Linked DNA regions of Rattus norvegicus. The protein of the gene in region 1 interacts with the protein of each later gene in a pairwise test. Links are inferred from orthologs where the notes say so. Each region holds a gene or a part of one and is shown on either strand. Other genes may lie near its edges.

The links. The genes of interacting proteins can lie anywhere in the genome.
Region 2: the proteins of Lpxn (region 1) and Hoxc9 interact in binary tests that used the Homo sapiens proteins (3 or more experiments, as listed by UniProt). The two-hybrid records come from large-scale screens. The link is inferred for Rattus norvegicus from reciprocal best matches to the Homo sapiens genes LPXN and HOXC9.

What each region holds. Positions count from the first base shown.
Region 1 is NC_086019.1:219,358,658-219,362,169, reverse strand, and holds part of Lpxn (leupaxin), read right to left. Parts: intron 1,281-3,512; coding exon 1,123-1,280; intron 1-1,122. UniProt on the Homo sapiens protein: Transcriptional coactivator for androgen receptor (AR) and serum response factor (SRF). Contributes to the regulation of cell adhesion, spreading and cell migration and acts as a negative regulator in integrin-mediated cell adhesion events.
Region 2 is NC_086025.1:135,995,922-136,000,091, reverse strand, and holds Hoxc9 (homeobox protein Hox-C9), read right to left. Parts: upstream 2,801-4,170; coding exon 2,263-2,800; intron 505-2,262; coding exon 260-504; 3' UTR 123-259; downstream 1-122. UniProt on the Homo sapiens protein: Sequence-specific transcription factor which is part of a developmental regulatory system that provides cells with specific positional identities on the anterior-posterior axis.

The sequences.
Region 1 (3,512 bases):
CTTCTATACTAACTGCATTCTCATGAAGCAAGCTTTAATTATAATTAGGGTCTATACATAGTTATCCAAAGGAAGAGAATATATATCTCAGCAAATATGTACTTGATATTTTAACAATCATAAATTAACACATCGGATCTGTGGGTTTTCAAATAAATCATCTCTAATGGATTTAGGGGTTTGGGGTTTTTTGTTTGTTTGTTTGTTTGGTTGGTTGGTTGGTTGGTTGGTTGGTTGGTTTTTGTGGTAGCTACCAAGGTTTCACCGTCTCTAGCTAGATGAAAACAATTTCTGAATGTATTTAACAGAAAATAATACAGACAAAATAACAGCTGTATAGAGTCACCCTGAGAAGACTTATCTAAACTATCAGGTGATCCCAGGTCTTACTGGGTGTGACTGCAGTCAAATTATAATGTGGCACTTGTGGTAACTGGTTCTGGTTCAGGAAGTAGCATCAAGTAGTCAGCACGTACCAGGCAATACTCTACTATTATGTCCGTACTAGAAAAAAGGTTCAAAGGCTTACTCTATGGTCATTTCCTTAGTTAGGCTTTCCATTGCTGTGAAGAGATGTCATGACCAAAGCAACTCTTATAAAAGACAACATGTACTTGGGGGTGGTCCACAGTTTCAGAGATTCAGTCTGTTACCATCCCAGCAGGAAGCATGGCATGCAGGCAGACATGGTGCTAGAAAAGGAACTGAAAGTTCTACATCTTAATTTGAAGGAAGCCAGAAAGAGTCTCTCTCTTCTGTATTGGAACTGAGCATAGGCCTTCAAAGCCCTCCCTCACAGTGACACATTTCCTCCAATAAGGCCACACCTAGTCTAACAAGGACACACCTTCTAATAGTGTCACTCCCTGTGGGCCAAGCATTCAAATACATGAATTGTGGTCAAACTTATTTAAACCACTACAGCCATTTTCTCAATTCTACTCTTTCCAAAAGCAACTATCTTTAAATCAATATTGAAATTATGTTCTTTCTTTAATATATATTTCTCCTTAATATATAATATTATATAATTTATAATTTATATAATTTTTGTGTGATACAATTAATTTTCAGAAGTGCTGTCAAACATTGTCTATAATACTATAAGAGATCAAATCTTACCTTCAAGGGACTTGTGTTACCCTGCGTTGACAAGGTCTTTGGTGTTTGGGGAAGCTTGCTCTCCTGTGTGGGTTGCTGATCCAGGCAACAAGAAACTGGATTTGAATAGTCCTCACTGTCCTGAAGGGTGCAGCATTCCAGTTCCTCCAATAAGGCATCTATGTCACAGGAAACAAGAGGAGTATAATGTAGAATCTGTGAGTCTTCAGGATTATTTTCTTCTTAAATATTCTCTTCTTGTTTTGAATTAAAAAAATTTACAAATACCTTTTTCCATCCTTATCTCCCTTCAGGAGTGTGGCATATCCCAGAAAATGTCTGAGATTTACTATGGTTGCATTCAATTTCATAGTCTCTTTACAATAATTTCTGACAGTCTAGGTATTGATTTTAACCAAATAGGGCAGATCTCTCTCTCTCTCTCTCTCTCTCTCTCTCTCTCTCTCTCTCTCTATATCTCTATATCTCTATCTCTTTCTGTGTGTGTATATGTGTGTGTGTTGTGCACTTGCATATATATTTCTTATTAGAAAAAGAGAAACAACTGGATTACAGTTTTTCAAAATATACCAACAATATACCAGGCAAAACATTTTTTTATCCTGATTTTTTAGTTTATCTCAAGGGTTAGCCCAAGATCATAATACAATAAATTGTTAAGTATTTTGGTGTTTTGTTGTTGGTTTATATTTCTTGGATGTGGAGAAGAAAAGAAGGTTGAAAAAAAAGAAACTAATGTATTATGCAATCAAGCAATATGTAGCAATCCAAATTACTCGGACTTCTTTTGCAGTTTTCTTGGTAAAAAGCCAACAGACTTCAGAAGAATTTCACTAATACCTTTCTGTTGCAATGTCAATAATCATAACGATTACAAATTAACCATGCCAATCATAGTATATGATGAATACAGTTTGCATTTAATTATCTTGACAGGTTGAAGTAGAGGACATTTCTGTTCTCATTTTATATAAAGGAGAGAGACAGTGCAGCTCTCACAGGCTGGTGAACACAGAATCAGATCTCCAATGAGTGCTATCTTATTCCAGTCTCAACACTGTCAACTTGTACACTGAAGTTGCCAGTATCACCAGATTGTCTGACTCATCTTAAGCACAGCATGTTCTCTGAAGGTCTTTCTTCATCTATATAATGAAGCAATTGAATGGAAGAATTTTTTTTTTCAAATTGCCAATCAAGATACTTGTGTCTTTTTTTTGTTTTTGAACTTCAGAAGACTTTTAAAATATATGTTATACTTTGTATAAGCTTGCAAAGTATCAGATTATATGATGTCTAAGGACCCGCCTATCTCTGAAGTTCTCAAATAAAGAAAATGAACTTTAAATGTCATTGAAAAACTTGCTCATGTATTTCATATTTGGAGAGAATGGAGTTTTGCTCTGTCTAGTTTTTAAGAGAGGCTGCTGTAGATCAAACCTAGAATTTACCAAGTAGCACAAGATGGCCTAAAACTCAATGGTCCTTCTGCTTCCACCTTCTGACTGTTGGGGTTTTATGGGTGTGACATCATGTACAGCTCAAAAACTGTCTTCTCCCCACTGTCTTCCTTCTTAACAATGCTGAACCCAGGAACTTGCATATACGAAGTAATGTATGTCGTGCCACTAAGCCACACCCCCAGATTAAGGATGACTATTTCTCAGTATTTTAGGGGAAGATCTAATTGTTTTGTTTTCACAAAAGAAATCTTCTGTAGAACTTGCTCAATCACAAAAGTTTGACCTTCATATACCATTTTAGAAATAACCAACCTGAATCAATCTCTTTAGGCTAAACTGCCCTTCAAGAAATAAACAGACAAGAAAAAAAAAAGACAGAAGGGGAGAAGGGACACATGTATATTAAGAGAGAACTAAGAGATATATAATTTTAATTTAGATCATTAACTTAAATTTAAAAAATAAACAGTCAAGAACACTGATAGTATATGTTGGAGATTTATGTTAACTTGTGGTCAAAAATTTACAGGCAAGTGAAAAATAAGTCCTGTTGCAAATTCAGAATTCAGTATTCAGCATGAGTTTCATAAGCATTAAGAAGATGATAAGTTAAAATTTTTAAAGGATATTTAACATTGTATAGTTAACAATATTAAATGCTAACATCTTAGAAATTTGAAAATATTGACATTAAAGTGATGTCAGTTAATCTTAGGTATGATAATGTTATTTCATGATATTGAGGAACCACTATTAAGGTTATCAGCTTCTGTTAGTATGGTTGTTTGTTATAGATTAAGACTGAATTACATACAGATAAGAAATATAACAATTGAGATTCCTTAAAAACAATGAATGGATGGAAAAAACAGAAGTATGTGAAGTAAGAATGTCAAGAGCTAATGATTATTGAAGCTGATCCAAAGG
Region 2 (4,170 bases), on another chromosome or scaffold:
ACGCAGTTTCTCTCCTGCCTCCTCCTCGATGGATAGAACTAACTCTAAACACCAATTTCTCAACACTTAACCCTCCCAACATCGAAAGAGTTTGCATTTTCCCCTTCCTTTTTTTTTTTTTCTTTTTAAGACGTTGGGCTTTTCTCTATCTTGTTCTTTCCTTTTCTTTTCGTGCTTTCTCCCGCCTGAGTTGGGGCATTTTTTGGTGGGGTTTTTGTGTTTCCCTTGGCTGTGCCGAGGCAGCAGGCTGGGGCAGGGTTTAGGATTGTTCTTTGTCGGTTTTTTCTTTATTCATCTTTTTCATTTTCATCCTCCGGTTCTGAAACCAGATTTTGACCTGCCGCTCAGTGAGATTGAGAACACGGGCCACCTCGTACCGACGGTCCCTAGTTAAATACATATTGAAGAGAAACTCCTTCTCCAGTTCCAGCGTCTGGTACTTGGTGTAGGGGCAGCGCTTCTTCCTTGTGGAACGGGCATGGATCCAGTTGGCCACGGGGTTGCCTGGAGGGCCAAACACAGGCAAGGGTCAGTAGAGTTCTCTTCCAGCTCAGGACCTCTGTCATCCCACCTCTAGGTTTAGTCAACCTCCCCAAACTCAATAATTGAACCTGAATTTGGACACATTTTGCTGTAGGCATTTCCTCCTTTCTCTTGCATCCAGCCCCCTCCCCATGTCCCCTCCCTGTTCAGTTTCCAGCACCTAAAACTGTAGTAAAATTTAAGCTATCAAAGCCCCCACAGCCTGGTCCTCAGCTTCAAGAGTAGTAATTCGAGAATATCCTCATAAAAAGTCCAAATTCCCAACCATTTCATAGGCCCATAAACGCTTCTCTCTCTTGTTTTTTATTTTTATAGCAAGGTCCTTCTCCTCCCCACCTCCCTCCTCCTCTGCCCCCTCCCATCCTCACAGCCCATGACCAAGTCCTGAGAGTCCCTAAACCCTCACTTCTTTCCAGTACCCATCTCCCCGCTCAGAATTCAACCCTGCTGAGGCGAATTATCAGGGTGAAGTTATCAGGATGAGGAAAACCTTCCCCTCTCCTCACAGAACTGCTGGCCTTGGAGAAAGGCTCCCTCCTATGTTGGACTCCAGTGCCCCACTCCTCCAGCCAGCCCCAGGACAGCTCTGCAGGAGACAACCCTCCAATTTCAGGTTTATGAGAGTAGCTGAGAGCAGGGAGGGAAGCCTTCAGAGGGGTGTAATTAGGCCCTGGCCCCTTATAGAGCTAGAGGAAAAGATTTCCTGAAGTCTCCTCCTGGGGATCCCCCCCCAGACACTTCCTCTCATCCAGGGGACTGCACCCCTCCCCTGCTGTTTCTCCTTCTTTCTCTCTCCCTTCTTTGACCCTGCAGCTTCCACCTGCCCCCCACCTCTTTACCTACTCTAGTCAGCACCCCTCTTCTATGCAACACCCAGAATACTCCTGTCTCTCTGAAGGGGGTCTCTCTCTCTCTCTCTCTCTCTCTCTCTCTCTCTGTGTGTGTGTGTGTGTGTGTGTGTGTGTGTGTGTGTTTCTTTAATCTGAAGATTTTTTTCCTCCTTATACGTTCCTGATCCCCATTCACAACTCTTTCTCTCCTGTGGACACTTAAAAGTGGGTTTTCAAGTTTAAGGAAACTCGGACCTTACTTCTCCTCCACTTATATCTGGAAGTCCTAACCTAAGTTCCTAGGCTGTTCACCCCCAGATTCTTCTCCTGGGGGAGAAGTCAATGGACCTTCTGCTTTAAAAACCCCTAGTGGGATGAAGATTCCCCACTCTGGCTGTGAGAGGTAGGGATAATATCTCTCCCTTTGCTCCAACTATCTTCCTCACCTCTGCTCTGTCCTTTCTCAAGCCACAAAATGAATTTTAGCCCTTCAGCCCAGCCCCTGTCCCTGTTTGCAGCAACTCCCCCCCAAACCCACACACACACACACACACACACACACACACAAGTGATCACTGAGCCAAAAAAAAAAAAAAAAAAAAAAAAGAGCTAAGAGGGGGACTCAGGAGTTTTCCCTCAAAGCCAGCCTCTGGGAAAGAAGCCCCTCTGGCTGGCCCTCACCCAACCTGGCTGCCTGGGCCCTTTTCTCAGACCTTTCTCCTCATGAGAGCTCCCCAAGGTAATTCGCTTTTATTGAGTCCTCACCCCCTCGCCCTCGCTCCTTTCCCGCACTGCCCGCGCCGCTCGGAGGGGCTGTAATCTAGCTGTCCCCGCCTGGCCTCCCCTCCCCTCCCGAGCCGGTTGTAAAGGAAAATTGCTCCCAACTTACTAGGGTCCAGGTCGGCCTTCTCCTCTTTGTGCTTGCTGCCGGCCAGCGCGTCCGCCTCGGGCGAGGGCAGCGTCTGCGGGGCGCGGTCGCGCAGTTCCCCGGGAGAGCCGTACATGTAGTCCGGGTAGCTGCGGCCGTCGCCCGGGCCGCAGTCGGCGCGGCGCCCGGGGTAGGCGTCGGGCTTGAGGGCGTAGTGACGGCCCCCGGCTGGGAAGCTGGGGAAGGAGACGGCGCCGGACAGCGGCTCGAGCCAAGTCCGCATGTAGCGCGTGTCGGCGCCGAGGTGGGGCTGGGGGCCGTAAGGGTGATAGACCACGGACGACTGCGAGGGCACGGGCGCCCACGACGTGCTGAATACAGCCGGCTTGGGCGCGAAGCTACAGGACGGAAAATCGCTACAGTCCGGCACCAAGCCGCTGGGTCTGGCGGCGGCAGGGTGAGCCCCGGTGGCCGGAAACCTGGACGCTAGGAGGTCTTCATTGTCGTGAGAGATGAGCGAGTCCACGTAATAGTTACTGATGGGCCCCGTCGCCGACATCGTAACAGGGTTTTACATACATAAGATTATTGTATGAACTGTATATGTACTTTTTATCTGCTCACAGAACAATCAAGGCAGGTAATTATTTTTCCAGCCTTTTCCCGGCAGCTCATTGGTTCCCCAGCCCCCACGTGATCGTATTTACCCAAAAATACGGCGCGGATCAATGCGCAGGGGCTTTTTTTCCCCCTTGCTTTTTTCCCCCCTTTACCACCCCCTTCTCTCTGCTGATCCCCGCGACCTGCGTTTTCCTAGCGATTTGCAACTCTGGACCCAAGGCGCCAGACAGGCCCCCCCTCCCCGGACGAATCATATCTCATCAGGGACCCCCCCCCTCCCTTGACCATGTGCAGCCAAAAGCAGATGGCTCCCCCTACCATGAGGATTTAAAAAAAAAAAAAAACAAGACGAAAATGCCAGTCCCAGAAGCCAGGGTTCCTGGACCCCCAGAGCTGAGATGGGCTCGGGGAGCCCCACAGGGGCGGGGAGGCCGGACGAGGTAGGTGGAGGAACTATTTCTTGACGTAATCTGTCTCTGTCGGCTCCGACGCTCCTGCAGTCTCTGAGTGAACGGAGATCAGCGATTGTCAGTTCGGAACGTGGCTTTTAAAAATGCGTTTTTAAATACTGTGTATGTATGTATTTCTTTCAGGAACAGCAGCACTAGCAGCGAGGGAGGGTGGGTGGGAGGGGACTGAACAAGCTGGGATGGAGGGAGGGAAGGAAGGAAAGGGGAGAGTTCTTCTGCCCCTGGCCAGCTCAGTTTCCCAAATCTAGGGTATGGGAAGCTTGGGAAAGGTGGTCTGTGGAGTGGGAGGAGTAACGCTTGGGAAGCTCACACACCTTTATCATCAGCCCCACAAGTCTCCTCTTGCTTTAGCACAGACATACAAGCCTTTATTTAAAATTTATTGTCTCTGTTTCTTTGCCAGCCTGAAGAAGTGGAGGAGAGAGCTACACAACTTAAGTGGGGCATCCCCAGCCCAGCTGCCTGCTCATCCTCCTTTGCGCCCAGGTCCATTTCTACAACACCCCCCCCCCCCCAAAGAAGTCACTCGGAGGTTCTGTCTGCAGAGAGCCAGGGTGAGAACGGGCAAATCGAGAGAGCGACCTCGGTCGTGGGCAAGTAGCTTGTTTTTACGTCCTTCAATAAAAATTTTATGAGGATCATTTGATTGTTCATAAATGTGTCTTTCATTAAATAAAATTGTAGGCTGTTTTTGGAACGGAAAAAAAGCAACGGAGGGATGGAAGAGGGCGATCTCTTTGGGGTCGATGGAAGAATTCAGAAGGTGGCAGTGTGATTGAAAGGAAATATCAGACAACTTGGATTCCACCCTCCCAATAAGTTGACTGCTATCCTCAAC